Linked DNA regions of Lepisosteus oculatus. The protein of the gene in region 1 purifies or fractionates together with the protein of each later gene. This does not show direct contact. Links are inferred from orthologs where the notes say so. Each region holds a gene or a part of one and is shown in the gene's direction. Other genes may lie near its edges.

What was found.
Region 2: the proteins of srrt (region 1) and zc3h18 purify together in Homo sapiens (co-immunoprecipitation; 4 studies listed by BioGRID and IntAct, counting the BioPlex papers as one, with this or other methods). This does not show direct contact. The link is inferred for Lepisosteus oculatus from reciprocal best matches to the Homo sapiens genes SRRT and ZC3H18.

The regions. Positions count from the first base shown.
Region 1 is NC_090698.1:10,692,760-10,700,646, reverse strand, and holds the start of srrt (serrate RNA effector molecule homolog), read left to right. Parts: upstream 1-4,737; 5' UTR 4,738-4,893; intron 4,894-7,208; 5' UTR 7,209-7,252; coding exon 7,253-7,371; intron 7,372-7,887. Other genes in the region: uncharacterized protein, read left to right, coding at 479-658, 2,537-2,612, 2,844-2,884. UniProt on the Homo sapiens protein: Acts as a mediator between the cap-binding complex (CBC) and the primary microRNAs (miRNAs) processing machinery during cell proliferation.
Region 2 is NC_090715.1:14,056,945-14,064,903, forward strand, and holds the start of zc3h18 (zinc finger CCCH domain-containing protein 18), read left to right. Parts: upstream 1-4,780; 5' UTR 4,781-4,839; coding exon 4,840-4,971; intron 4,972-6,329; exon of another isoform or gene 6,330-6,334; coding exon 6,335-7,078; intron 7,079-7,959.

The DNA.
Region 1 (7,887 bases):
GAAACGCGTCGCTGTGCGTGTGACGTAGCCGTGTGGGTCACATGACGATCCGCTGCCCGGTAGAGCAGTACTCAATATCACACTTATACTACAGGCTCAGGGGTTTCTGGAACAGATCTCTACGCATGACATCAGAAAGGTGTGTTTATCCCCACGTTATTTAGTTGTAGGAAGTCCAATTAAAAACTGCCTTATGGGCCCAACCTGCCTTGAACATTAGGACATTAAAATTCAGTTACAGACAAGACAGAGTCATAGAAAACGCGAATAAGACGAGAAAATAATGTATAGATTAGTGGTTATTAACCTATTAAATAAAGGGGTTAGAAGATGGATCGATATAGCAGTATGGGAATAACATAAGCAGCGATTGGCAGTTTTTTCAATTTTTTGAAAAACGTTCTAGAATTCCGCAGACTAACCAACCGACAGAATACCGCTTGCTGTTATTATTGATGTTGTTGTGGTTTTCGCCCGGATGTCGACCGAGGGAGGGCAGCGCTCTCTCGGGAAGACGCTTCCCAGCAACACCGAGCGGATCCTGCGGGCCCGGAGGCCGGGGGGCCCGGAGCCGCCGGCCGACGGCGGTGTCGAGGAGGCCTGCGAGCGGCTGATGGCTGAACTGCGGGTGACCGTGCTGGAGGAGCACGGAGATGAGGTAGGCCCCCGCTTCAGCAAGAGCAGGCCTGCGCTGACCACGGCCGGCCGGCAGGGGGCGCCCTGACTCAGACGCGCTGTGCTGTTACCGCCGGTCATGACGCGTCGAGAGGATGTACGTTTTTATTTAAACATCAGAAATTCATCAACAGAAGAAAAATATTAAAACCGATACAGAAATAAACCCACTTCACAGCTATAAGAATTCACAATTATAAAAGCTGAAAATTAAGCTTTGTACATATTTCCACTGTATGTATTGCCTTTTTGATTCTTCAAATTTCTGATAGAATTTAAGCAAAAAAGAAATTCTACCTTAAAATCATTAATAGAGGGAGCAGTATTAGACCACTTACGTTTGTGGATTCACAGATTAATAATAAAAACATATATTTTATCCAAATCAGGTCTAACAAAATATAAAATAATTTCTAAATCTCTAAATGTAACATTTAGACATTAACAATATTTAACATTTAGTTTAACAATAACATATTGCTAATCTAGCCAAAACAAATTTGTATATACGCAATTCACAAAACAATTAACAAAATTTCCTTCTCATTATTACAAAATACACATTAGTCATCTTGTTCGTGTCAATCTAACAGAATAAAGTCTATGAACGATCTTAAATTATATTTAACTTTGTTTGTAAGACAGTATCTATCAGCAATTGTCCAAATTAATTTCCACTTTATATTCCAAAACATAGTATTCCAAAAAGAGAAACAAGAAGGTATAAAGCGCATAAGGCGTCGTTTCCCAAGACGTCCATTGCAGCGTGCGCAGTAGCACTGAGCTACATGAATAAAGTATTGGCTCTGATTATGAAAACTGGTAACTTGAGTTTTTATTTCCAAATGGTGCCCGTTGGCAACATCTTTTACCTCCGCTGTCTGGCTTCCGATGTAAAACCAGGGCATCATTTCACTCTCAGGAGCGAAACAAGAACCCGAGCCGCAACTGGTAAGTAAGGGGAAACACGAAAACAGAGAACAGAAAACACCTCTCTACACAAAGAGTTGTGGGTGTCTGGAACAGGCGGACGCGGAATAAGGAAACGTTGTATCTCTTTTTTTTTTACACACGGACAAATTGGCAAGTCCAGGAATTAGTCTTACGTAAAGAAATGTCGCTTAAGACGTCGTGTACAGAGTTTGGAAAGAAGACTTTAGAATCGTCGCCTGGACGTGAGGACGTGAGGTATTATAGGTGATTAAAAAAATACGAGCGACAGACCCTCGTCACGTGATAGGTGTGGGGCCCGAACCCTGGTCACGTGTGCCTTCGCTTCGCCTTCCTTTTCCGTTGGCATAGTTGCAGCTGTTCGGTGTGGGGCTGTTCGGAGTGGTTGAAATCGTACGCTTTTACGAAATATTACTTAACATCGTTAGTCAGTGTCACCGGGTTTCGGTTTTAAACTCAGAATCTTTTTTAAAAAATATTTATTCCGTCGTGTTTATTTCCTGGCGGGTATTGCTGAGTATTGCTTCAGTATGTCGGCGGTGCAGCGGATGAAAGTCGCTAACGAGAAGCATAGCAAGACCATCACCCAGCGGGGACACGTCCAGAAAACCACGGTACACTCCCCGCTACACACCGATACCGACACCACTCATCGATACACACGGATGCTGACACAGAAACTCGCCGCTATACATTGATACCGCTGCACGCAGTGCTGGAGAGCCCCGTACTGACTCGAGTGGGACTAGAGACCCATGTCCCCTGTACTGGCTGGACCCGTGCTGGAGACCCTGTACTGACTGGACTAGGGCTCTCTGGGCCCCTTTAGTTGATATCATCTGTGACGTGCTGTATAAGGTGATACTGCAGTCCAGCTGTGACATGCTGTTCTCCTCTCCCTGTGTTCCAGCGCACAGTCAATGAGGACCACTCTCCGGTGGGCCCTTGGCTTCTGGCGCTGTTCGTCTTCGTCGTGTGCGGCTCTGGTAGGTCTCTGATGCCAACGTGCTCTCTCATCCTAAAACCTCTGGCCCTCCCTCCCCCCCTCGCTCTCTGATGCTCTCTGACCTGCTCTCCTCTCTCTCTGACCCACCATCCTCTCTTTCATTCTCTGACCTGCCACCCTTTCTCTTAAATGCTCTCCGACTTGCTGTCCTCTCTCTCTCTGACGCTCTCTGACCCTCCTCATTCTGACCCTCCTCTCGTTCTATCCTCAGCCATCTTCCAGATCATCCAGAGTATTCGTCAGGGTGCATGAGAGCCGAGCCGCGCTGCGCTGCAGGAGGAGCTGTCTCTGGGAATGAGCACCTGCCAGAAGCTCCCTGCCCACCCCATCCCTCACTGTCCTGCTCCCCTCCTCTTCCTCCATTAAAGTCTGACCCTCTCAGAAGGCACCCCTGTGAGTAGGAAACTGCCCCAAGGCTCAGGTTCGATCTGGGGGTTTCAAATTCTGTTTGTTCTGAGCCTCATTTCACATCCTGGATCTTACCAAGTAGGGCTTCTCAATCCCACTTCTGGGTACCCCATATCCCACTGGTGTTTTTCACCTTTACTCCTGGTAGCTTAATGTGATCCCTTCACTACTGATCTGATCAACTAGATCTTTGTCATTTCTTCCCACTCTCCACATTCTCGCTGTTATTGAAAAATAAAAATCTCTTTTCACTGTTCCTGAACTGACAACAATTCAAAAACAAACAAAGGGCAAATACATTGTTACATCTGGGACTGGAGTAAGATCTCAGACGGACCTGCTAGACCCAGGTGTCAGACAGCGCTGGACTGGGAGGTCCTGCTCTAGAGCCAGCTGTATAGTCAAGAGTGGGGCCATGGGGACTGATGGAGTCCACCAGGGGGCGCTGCTTCAGGTCCGAGTGACCAGCAGGCAGTGGATACGGTGTGTACAGTACAACTGTAGGAAACTGTTCAGTGTCCACACTGTCTGTTCATGTCAGTCAGCTCCCTATGGCCCTGTCTGAGTGTGGACCCAGTCTCTCCACAGTGCCCAGTCCTCCCCACACGGGACAACTGACTCCGAGAGTCCCTTGTGTATACTGGTGATGAAGCGCCCCCTGATGTCCGCTGTCTGTCCATGGCAGTGTGTTTCTTATGTTCACCCCAGTCTTCGCTGTGCTATAAGAGCAGCTGACCCTGAGCACCCTTCATTTGATTTTTAACTTCCTTTCTTACTCACCTGCTCACTTTTATATTTCATTATCTCCCTGTTTTTTTGAGGGGGCTCTTCAGTTCAATTTGCCTTTTCTATCACTGTAAATAAATCCACTGTCCTCCTGAAATCCCCATGTCCCTTCCCTGCTGTGAAACCACCCTCCTACTACACCCACTCCACCTAGACCACTGCCTACTCTTCTACAGATGCTATGCAATGGTTTTATACAAATTAAAATATTTTCTCAAAAAACGTCTGTGCTGTGTTTTTTTGTATTTAAAAAATCAGCTGATCCTACTGCCAAACTGGACTATTCAGCCCTTGCTCTCCCGTCAGGCTCTGTGCAGAGCCCCAGGGTGAGTGATCTGACAGGGTGGGTTGTACTGAATGAATAGGCCCATGTATCTCATTTTCTCCTGAGAGACTGCAATATTTGTTGGTGGTCTTAAAATGGGCAATTTCCAATTGGGGGACCTGTCCCTGAATCTGGGCTGATGTCTACAGATGACAGACTGGAGAGCCTAGGGGACACTGGCAAGGTCTCGTTTCCCAAAGACTCAGGGGGGAATTGTGCGCTGCTGAAAAATAGAATTCTGGCCAGATTCAAAGCACACACTCTGCAAAGTTTTCCTTTGCATGAATGGAAAATATTTTTTATGACTGTCATGCCGTTTTTTTTTTCATTGAAGTCCTGAGTCACTGTAGCTGAATCATTATTCTGTGAATGCATCTGATTATCCTTGAAACATGTATAAAATCATTTTCTGTTCAATTTTAATTGTAGTAGCTTCAAGCATATCAAACACTGGTGCTGAGGCTTGTCGGGACTTCTAAGCGTGTGATTTAATATTGCACCTTTTTTCAGCCGTAAAGGCCATGCAGACCTCCGGGCGCTAGGGGGCGCTGTGGGCTGATGGTGCGGGCGAAGGGGAGGGGACCAAGACTTCGCTAGAGGCCACATCCGGGTCTTCTCTCGCGCTGTAGGCCCGCTGGAGGAGTGGGAGGAAGGATTGCGACGCGGTGGGAATTTAATTAATTAAGAAATTATCGCCTTTCTCTGGAGGTACGAAGGTTTTCCCGGGACTTAAGCCGAGCGGGTAAGTTATCGAAAAATAAGTCATGTTTTGTTTTATTGGGGGGTAAGTTAAGGCCTTGGGATCTACCGGTGAAGCCGCGGTCTGGGATGTTGACTCTGCAGGGGTAGATGAGCTCGGAGGCGGCGGTGGCTCTGGAAGCGGAGGCGGTGGAAACCAGTGTAAGATTCCGCGGGTGAAGGCGGCTTCTGTGCAGTTTGTCCGGGAAAAGAGGGCGAAACGCAGCTTGGACACTTCCAGTTTCTGAATGACCTGGAGGGAACGGCTCCCGTGAGAAGGCGCAGCGGGTGCAGAGAGCCCTCTGGGCCGTGTGTGTTCCTGCTGCAGCCGCCCGGGCTGCGAGACGGAAGAGGCCGCGGCATTGTACTCGTGGGCGCCGAAAGCAGCTCGATACGGACGGTGTTTCACGGTGCACGCAGTGTTGTTCGCGGTTAAGAGGAAGTTGATCGGGAAAGTGTCTCGGCGCGAGTGATCCCTGCGGCCGTCTTTTGTGGGGCAGCGGTGCGATTGAATGAATGAATGACGTGGGGCTTCGGCGTTTACTGACAGAGCCCGCGGTCGCCGAACCTACCGGGCTCTGCCCCCCGGTACCGGCCTGGGTTTTTTTTCCTCTGGTTTCTGTGCAACACTGGAAGGTTAGTGGGGGGCTCATTCGCTTCGCAGGGGGGACACTGAAGTTTTCAGGACCGCCATATTTCTTATGTGAAAGTTGACGGTACCGCAGGAAGTTTACAGGTGTGGGAGATGGGGGAGGAGAGGGAACACATTCATCCTGTCTTTGCTGTTTCTTGAAAGAGGGCGGGGACAGCTTGTTCCGGACCCCCACCACTCTTTGTGTAAAGCAGCGCCGCTTGTCCGCAGTCCCGAATTCGCTTCCTCGGTGGGGTTGGGGTAGTTTCGTTTGCCTGTTGTGAATTTCTCTTTCCGAGAGAGGGAGTCGTTTCGAGCATGACTACTCAGTGCGGGTTATGAGCGATTGGTCTTCACCTGTTTGTGGCCAGCACGGTGCACTTTAAAACCGAGAGGCTCGCGTAGCTGAAGCGGGCCGTGGGGAAGAGGTACAGGGCGCAGAGCGCTCACAGAGTGGAAGTTAAACCCCTGGAGACGGTTGTTTTAAGAGGCCAGAGTCTCATGACCTTAAGAGAGGCTGTGGGTGGGCAGGTTCTGGCTGGATCTCCTCTGTTTTTGGCAGAGATGTGAAACTTCACTGTGAGTTAGCCGGGAGCTGCGCGTTTGGGAGAGAGCCCAAACTGCGATCAAGCGGCTTGCTGATGTGTCCTGGAAAACAGTCCAAGTAGTTTTATTTGAGTGACTTGGACCAGAAGATGGCGCTGAGAGAGCAGTGTTTTGGGCTGCTGGAGTTACCCTGCGGCCTGGGCTCCGAGACTGTGACTGTACTGTATTCTGAACCGGGGGGTCTCCGGCCCTGTTTCTGGGGAACCCCAGTCCAGCATGTTTGTGGGTACACCATTGCCAGTTTCTAGTGACTTGGGGCGGAGCGGTGGCTCTGTGGCTCAGGATCTGTGCCTGTGGCTGGAAGGTTGCCGGTTCAAATCCCACAGCCGGCAGTGGAATCCTTCTCTGTTGGGCCCCTGAGCAAGGCCCTTAACCCCATCTGTTCCAGGGGCACTGTACAATGGCTGACCCTGCGCTCTGACCCCAAGCTCTCCCTGTCTGTGTCTCATGGAGAGCAAGCTCGGGTATGCAATAAAACAAATTCCTAATACAAGAAATTGTTAAGGGTTAATAATAATAATTATAATAATAATTGCTTACACTTATATAGCGCTTTTCTGGACACTCCACTCAAAGCGCTTTACAGGTAATGGGGACTCCCCTCCAGCACCACCAATGTGCAGCCCCACCTGGATGATGCGACGGCAGCCATAGTGCGCCAGAACGCTCACCACACATCAGCTATCAGTGGGGAGGAGAGCAGAGTAATGAAGCCAATTCATAGAGTGATGTTGATGTAGCCAATTCATGAGTGATGATTCATAGAGTTAATAAAGTGATGTTGTTGTTGTTGTTGTTGTTATTATTATTTGCGTGTGGCCAGTTAAGCAAGTGATTTGTTAAATTAAGTCCCCTTAAGAGTTTTGCTATTGAAGTATGACTTGCCTGGTTCATACCTGTTATAGATCTTTTTGGTCACCAGCTGCAGGGGGTCTCCCCACGAGCCCCGCCCCCTAGCCCTGCTGCGACCACTGTCGACGCGCAAGGCCCTTTGTTCGCATTCGTGTGTTTTGGCAGCTGTTGTGCACTTGGTGACGTCTTGACTGCCCCTTGCCTCATCCCGCCACTGTTTCGTCTCCCAGGCGCGTCGTCCGTGTGCGCTGTGCAGATCGGGCCGGGCAGGACGATGGCTGACAGCGATGACGAATACGACCGCCGGCGGCGCGACAAGTTCCGGCGTGAGCGGAGTGACTACGACCGGTCCCGGGAGAGGGAGGACCGGCGCCGGGACGACTGGAACGACAGGTCAGGGGTCACGGGGCGGGGGGGAGGGGTGCGCTGCCAGCCACAAAGGTCGTGGTCTCCGGGAAGCCTGAGACACCTGGATTCTGGAAGATAACTGTGGATCGATCGAACAGTTAGATCATCTCCACTTTCCTCTGCTTACCAGTCATTGATCCCAGGGAATCTGCTGCTACAAATATGCCTGGGCAGCTTGTTACAGGCACCCACCACTTTGTGTAAAGAGCCTCCTGTTACTAATGCTCAGTACACTTCTTGGTTTTCACCCGTGTCCTCTGGGCTGTGCTTTGTTGGTGATCCTGACTTGGTGTGTTAAAAAAACCTCCTGTCCTCTGCAGCCTTTGTTCTGTGTCAGTGTTTGCTATTGCCGATTCTTCACGGATCCCAAGGCTGCCTTGAATAGAAACAAGTGAGAGCACAATTGAGAAGACTGCTTTGCACAAAGGGCAGTAGGAGGCTGGAACAGGCAGCCCAGGCGTCTTCTTGAAGCTGTTGCTCTGTCGGATGGGTCAGGAGGTG
Region 2 (7,959 bases), on another chromosome or scaffold:
TTTTTTTTTTTATTTAATCAGTTTTCCTCAGATACATCAGGCAATGTGTTTCCGTGAGGATTCTGAAATACACACAGGACTCCAGGCTTAAAAAAGGAGATAGCTTTTTTTAAGGCGGTCTTGGTTTAACCTTGTGCGAGCAGATGTATTCTTACACCGGCTTCACCAACCTTCTTCTTCGCAAGATAACTTCCTGCCTGTTGAATTATGCAACAGTACAATGAAAAATGAAAGCACATTTGTGGATATTGCTATGGACGGCGAACTGATCTGCAATTGCAAGATTTTTCTACTGAGCCTCTTAAGGATACTGATACGCTTGTGACTGAGTCATCAGGAATTGTCACTGGGGCTGCCTTTTCAAATTTCCTGACTGCATACAGAGGGAGAACTTTCATTAGAGCGTTTAAAAATAAAACAGCCCATTTTTCCATTACTTCACATTAATGAAAATCTGCATCCAACAAAAGTCACTTGTGGCTGTTGATCTCCCTATGTGTGAGTCACCTGGTATTAAATGACACTTGTCTTTACTTTTCTTTTTCTCCAGCAAATAATTTAACTTGACACAATGGCAAAGACGCTACCAAAATCACAGGGAGAAGGAAGTGGTCTCTCCCACAAAAGAAGAGATGTCCTGCTAGCGCTGGTGGTGTGGTTTAGAGGCAGCAAAAATGGAATGGAATTGATATTGATGCTTATACTGTATAAGGACAAAGTAAGCACAGAGATGCATGCCACTCATGGTCTTGTAAAAGATCATAAAGATAGTAGAATTGTCTGAACAGACTTCTAATTCTGTTTTGCAAGTATAGATACTTCAATTCATATGTCCCATAATTTCCTATAATACACATAATAGTCATATGCCCCATAATTTTAGTGACTTCTGTTTGCTCTTAAAACATCCTGACTCTCAACAGGGTTTTTAGCAATAATTTCACGTATACCACTAACAAACAGAAATTACTTAATCATTTCGGTATAGCAGAAAGCATTTCAGAAACAAAGAGAAATTATCTGTGGCCGCCAGCTGGAAAATAATGTTCTTTGTTAAATCTTATATCATTTCACATACCCTTAGATGACATAGTTAACTATAGTTTTTATTTTAAAATCATTAATAAACACTGGACTTGAATGAGTTCAGGTTCAACAACAGGAACTAAGTCAAGGGTGGATTGAAAATGAGTGATGGACAGGCCAATAGACAGATTTTTACATTCCTGACTAGACATCTCTTTATAAGTTGCTTGGAAAAGTATTTAAAATGCTTTTTTTTCTGGAGCAAGTGCCTCATATACAAAGCAGAAGCAGTGAATAAAAAGCATACAGTATCTAGAGGATGTACAGTTCTTCATACACTTTCTTCCAGACCAGATATTTGGTCCAACTAGCACCTGATCACATACTGACAAATCAATTGTGCGTTACAAAGCCTGTAAGGCATGCACTCAGTGTGCATATTTAAAATTCAAAGAGGATTTATGAGAGACGTACAAAGTACAGCAGTATGGATTTTAAAATAAGTGACCGGGTTTGGCTGAATATAAAAATGGGGGAGAGTGGTTGTGGGGGTGCATCACAGATTTAGAATTTCTTGCAATAACATAAAATCAAACATACAGTCATTAAAGTATAAACTGTTCCATGAATATAGAAAAGTTAGATGAAACAGGCTAATATCAAAGGTCTTCACAAATTTATCACCATGCTACTTTTGCACGTCTTCAAAGAAAAAATGCCATGAAACCATAAGACTGTACCCATTTTTACATGGAATTCCTGGAAGGTTGATCTAAAATAATTCTGTTCTGTGTTTGGTTCTGATTTTATAGCATTAGGAGCTTGCATTTCCAAGTTGAAATTAGAGATTAAAGTGACGTTTCTTCTGCAAACTCATCATGGGTTTTGTAATGTGTATTTCAGCAAACTCTGGAATTGAAAAGCATAGGCAAAATATTTTGCTAATGTTACAGTAAATCTAATGTAGGCAAGTATTACCTACTTTACTTTAGTAACTGATGTAAAGTAAAAGAAATGATGTTACTATATTTACTAAAGTAGAGTACTCGTTTGTTATGAGACTCTTGTGTGGCCAGTCGAAATGGTGTTGTTAAATATACTCATATTTAGCTCATATATTGTGCTTAAAACTGAGATCTAACCTGTTGTTCAGTGAGCCTCATGGCAGTTAATGAACTATGCAGCCTGTCAATAAAACTGTTGACAGACAAACACCAAACAGGACTGAGTTTGTCAGTACTGTACATATATAGTAAAAATACTAAAATGAAGCTTTATGAATTCTTACTACACCTTCTCTGTATAAATGTAAAGATATTTAAAATACAAAAGCAAATTACATTGGTAAGTTTACAAATTGGTTTTTATTTTTTTTCAGTCTTGCTGAAATATGGTATATTTTTAAAATGAAACTAATACCTGTAATAACAAGGCGTGTAAAAAAAAAACTTCAACCCATAAATCAAACTACTTTTACATTTAATTAAACATTTTGCATTTACGGTTAACATTAAAACTTTGGAACTTTAGAATAAAAAAGGCAAAACATGTGAACAGCCACACATATTCTAGTTTTAATAATTTAAATAATCAGTTCTCACATACAGGTTGCAAAGCTTTAAGAATTCTTACCTCAGATGCATACCTTTTGGTGATGTTTCAGTGACCTGTTATTTGTAGAGGCAGAATGACTTAAAACACTTAATTCCTCAGGTTACTTATTATCCACAAGAGAATGACATTAGCATGTGACTTTCTGTGCTCTCCAGCATTGCCCACAGTATTGGGTTGAGCTGTGTCCTTCTTGCTTGAGTGCAGTTCTTATCCCTAACCTTTCTCTTCCCTGTCTGAATGTGTCTGTCTCTCCGGCTTCAGCTGAGGAGCTCTCCACTGTCAGTTATAGAGGAGTTCTCAATCAGCTGATCCCTTTCCTCCTGTAAGTCATCCTATAGCTGTGCACCAGGGTCCCCTGCCTGTACATAGCATGAATCTATGGAAATCAAAGCCTTAGCTCTTCAGTATCCATTATGAACAGCAAAGACAAAAGCCTTATTTTTAATTGTCATTCCTACCAGCATGAAGGAATCTAATCTGATAATCTAGTCTGATTTTTAAAGAATTGCTGTCCTGCCTCAGTACACTATTTATGGCAATTCTGAAGTAAGATCTTTATCCTGCCTTGTATAATTGAAGGAGTTTAATTGGTTGCCCCTCTAGATTTAAAAAAAAAACAATGACAATCAGCACAAGAAATTACACCTATCCTGTTTCTTCGTTTTATCCTTTCAGAAAAACAGATTTTAATGTTTTTCACCATGTAAATAGATAATTCTACATATTCAATTCTGGTACCAAAAAAACATGCCTTTTCATTTCCATCTGTGTTTAACACAGCATGTTGGATATTAGTGGCATGTAATCTCAGTGACCATTGTATTAATTAGACCTACTGTATGAACAGAAAACAAGCATGTCAGCTATAATGTACAAAGTTCTTATGATACCAAGTGAGGAACCTCCGTGCTTAATCTTGCATGCGTTAGACCACTTTTTAAAAACATCCCACTGTGTTGGGTTTTTAACTTGCTGATATCAGTTTATGTTCTTTTACTGACAGAATCTCAACAAACTCAGAAGATAAAATAGGATCTATTTTTATTTTTCTCATGAGTTCACCTAAAGAAAGTTATCAGAGTAGAGGTTATGAATTCCCAATTTGAAGGTTAAGAGGTCAGCTGTTAGCGCACTGCTGTTGTATAAGCTTAGGCTCTCAGGCCTAGTTCAGTCTGAAATGGCCCACTGAATAAATTAGTACAAATATAAGTCACGTTGGACGAAAGTGTCAAATTGTGTTTTAAGTTTCTAGTTAAAAGTTTAATTAAATCTCAAATCAAATACATATTTCAAGTTCTTGGGTGAAAAAATACATTTGAAGAATTGTTATCGTTGTTAAAAAATGTTGTAAAATGTCCAAAAAAAAAAGGGTTTCGACAAGAAACATACTGTATACCGAATACTTCAAGTGTCGTTCACCTGGGATACCTCAAATTCCGCCCGTTTTCAGCGGGACTGCACGGAAATTTGTAAATGAGGTTTGATCTCCATCTAGTGGTAGATGTTGGTATCACATAATCTCCAAACTCCTGCAGTCGATAGTATGGGCGGTTGAATTGAAGGCACATAGAAATGGGATGCATTTTCCGGTGGAAAGTCAAAGAGCCTGTCCAACTCTGAAACAGATATGCCGCCTTCAGAGTGACACCAGCTGCTTTTTGATATTTCAAAAATTGGAAGCAAAGGTTAGTTTTAAAAGTTAGTCGTGGAAAGATCTGAGACAGCTCTGTAATAGAAGATAACGTCTCTTTCTGAGCAGAAAGTCGAGTGCACATAGTGAAACGTTTGAAAACTTCCAATCCAAAAGGCCAATGAGGTTGTACAAAAGCAACATCTGTGGTTAGACGTTAAAAGGTCATTTTCACGACACTCACGTTCTAAGCAATGTAGCTATTTTACACATTTTGTTTGAAAATTAACATCACCGACGCTTCTCCTGTTAGTTTATTATGTGAACAAGTTATTTTGATTATGATTGCTGGCTGCCCTAATTTTGGCGATAACGTTAGTTAAGAATAAAAACTAAACAAAAGCCATTGTAATACTGGCAATCATATAAAGCATATCCAGATTTGATCTTCGGCGAATAACAAAGTACCGCCTGGCACCCTTAACGTCCTAGTCCTCTGCGCCGTCTGACGCCGTCTTGCCTTGATGACGTAACGGCAATGGCCGCTCTCACTGTGTAGAGCAGGGTTTATGAATCTCTCCGATAGAAGAAAAAGCAATCCGAATATTTATTACTGTGTACAGCTTTACACTTGGACGGGGAGAGACGGGGTAGTAGTTACGATCACACTCCTGTCTCAAAAGACGTACAGGTTGGCAACGGTAACAGTCAGATATCTGCTATTTTTTTGTGATTATTTTTTTGAAGGGGGGAGGTCTGTATTGTTGATGAACAGGGAAGCATGGCTGCTTAGCAGATTAGGAAGGGGGCTAAAACCAAGAAGGTATTTTAAGGGGGGAAAGTAGTTGTTGTCCCGGAAAGGTAAGTTAAATCTGTTTTATAGGGATTTTAGGCGCTCTCATGATGCATCTGCAGAGACGGTGTTCTGCCTGGTTCACTGAAGGCAGTCGTGGGGCCTGCTGTCTTCCAAGCCGCTATATTCTTCATTGATTCACTAATTTATTTGGTGGCATAATAGCCCAGCGAGTGAAGTTGTAGGCAGGGGGGTAAATTCATAGGAGTGCGATTTGATGGTTTTAAACGAGACAATGATACCTGATCCTGCACTGTATAGAAAGACAATTTAAGGAAAACGAAACCCTTGCTATCAGGTTATAGACTAGAGTATTTATCACCTAAACCTATTTATGCAGGCCAATTTGTTTTAGTTCTTTATCGAGGTGTTTTGTTTGGATTTATGTGCAAATTCTAAATTGTACATAAAATTGTACTTTTCGTTTTAGTCCTACTCAACGGACGATCGTATTTTTTACACAGGTCACGTAGTTTTCGCTTGCTAGATTACTTGTAGATCGTGGCTAGACACTAGAATGTCTCGTTCTTGTACTAATAAAATGAGCTATTAGCATTATTCTGCAAATCTCAACAAATGGGAATGCAGTAGGGTAGCAATTTTTTAGACAACATCCTATTCTCTTTTTATATGTGCGTTTTTTTAAGTTTTTCACAGTAATCTAAATGAAAAAATAATAGATTAACAATTTAGAAACTAAACAGCTATTCTCTATTGGTCATATATATATATAATAATTTACTTTTAAGCTTTGTTGTTAAGCTCACTTTCCTCAATGGGCAGGGCTACAGAGGAAGACATAATGTGATAAATAATAAGAAAAGTTGACACCTTCCTGAAAGTGTTTTTGAATCCCAAGTAAAGACTATTAAAAGAGCAAATAAATTCACTTCATTCTTTAAAAGAAATTAACCAACTCCCACCTCTTACCAGGCTCTATACTACTTGAGTCTGATCCTGGAGTAGTAAAATTAGATGCTGCATTAAATAGTATACTAGTGACAAATGTCAAAAATTTGGTAACCGGATTTAATTTTCTGATATATCTGACAGGGGGCTAGAAAGTATATCTGATCTGTGGAGAACTAATCCTCAGTCAAAGGCTAGGCTTTAAAATCAGTGTTCAAATTAATTTGCTTTCCTTCTGATCTGTGTGTTTACAGTGTGACTTATAGGGTCTTTATTCTGCTCGTGTCTTCTCTGTAGAGCAGCCTCCAATGGATGCAACTGAAAGCCCCAGTCATGACAGACAGTCCCTGGAAGAGAAAGAGACCTCGGACAGCGAGATGCTGAAAGAGGACAGTCAGGAGGGTGGGGCGGAGTCGGACCTGGAGGATCTAGAGGACGAGGGTGGGGAGAGAGTGTCGGACCAGGAGGAGGAGGAGGAGGATGGGTATGGAGGGGAGCTGTGCCACGAGGTCCCGTCAGGTGCAGCATTGACGAGGGGGCGAGGGGTGAATTGCTCGGACGATGAAGAGGAGGAGGATCGAGTCAGCCAAGAGGCGAAGTCCCCCGACTCGGAGCCTGATCTGGGCCGGGAGAAGCTTTTGTCTTCCCCGCTAGCGGAGGAGGAAGAGGAGGAGGACGACGAGGGGGTGAAGGCAGCAGCTGCGGACAGCCGGGTAAGCGACCTCAAGGACGAGTCCTCGTCAGTGACGCGGGAGCTGGACGAGCACGAGCTGGACTACGACGAGGAAGTGCCCGACGAGCCGAGCGGCGCCGCCCCCGAGGATGAGGACGGGGACAGGGTGCCTGGGGAAGAAGGAGAGGAGGAAGAGGCAGACCCTGAGGATGAGGAAAAGAAGGAAAAGAGGAAGGACTCCCAGCAGCCAGAAAAGGTCACTGAGCCCAAAAGGGCAGAGGAGCCCAAGGCTCCTGAGAGGGGTCGGAGAGATTCCTTACGAGATAAAAAGAAAGATGACGACGATGGAGAGATCGATGAGGGAGAAATAGATGTAAGTGGAGAATCTCTTTTGTTTTAAGATCATCTTTTGTTCTGAACGTTGACAGCTCAGTGTTCTAAAGAGCAGGTGTTCATTTTATTTCCTAAATGCATTATTTTTCACCAAGTTTTGCTTTAAACGTGAACCTTCGGAGCAGATGAAGCTTCTGTACCCAAACTACTCTTTACCATGCTCAAGTAAAGAGCTTGTTTTCACACTGCAGATCTGGAGCAGCAACATGTCAGCCAGACTGCACTCTCCGGTCATTTTTATCCCTCGGCGTTTCTGTGTGGTGTTCCAGGGACCCCCAGATGATGTTCCCCAAAGCGAACTGGAGTCTTCCAGTGTTCTCCTTCATTGAATCAGTTCACTTAGAATGAAATTAAAATTTATATTTCCTGTAGAACAGGGGTTGACAAGGAGTGTTTTAATGCAGTTATTTTTAAGGGTCACCCTAAATCACCTGTTATTTCAAGATTAGGCACAATTAAGCAATTGGTCAATGAAGCAAGTCATCGATGAATTCAACAGTGGTAGATGAGGGCAGGTGGATATTCTTTTCCAAATGATCTCTAAATTGCTTAATTGAGTACACCACCTATTTAAAATAATTAAGATGTTCCTGCCCTTCAGAAATGTATGGTTAAAGTCTGTTGGACTGTTGATTACCCCTGGTACAGAGTGATAACGTTTGCATTTATTTCCCATTTTCTTAATATGGTATTGAAGTGTTGGGTTGTTTCTTAGGTCTCAACCCCAGTTTTGTATAAGGATCCCTTTGTGTCTAAGGGTAGAATGCCCTAGACAGTGTGTATTTTATACGAACTCTTAACCCCTTGGAACCAGATTCTGTGTAGCATGGGAATATTTCATCTCAAGCCAGTGACACTCAC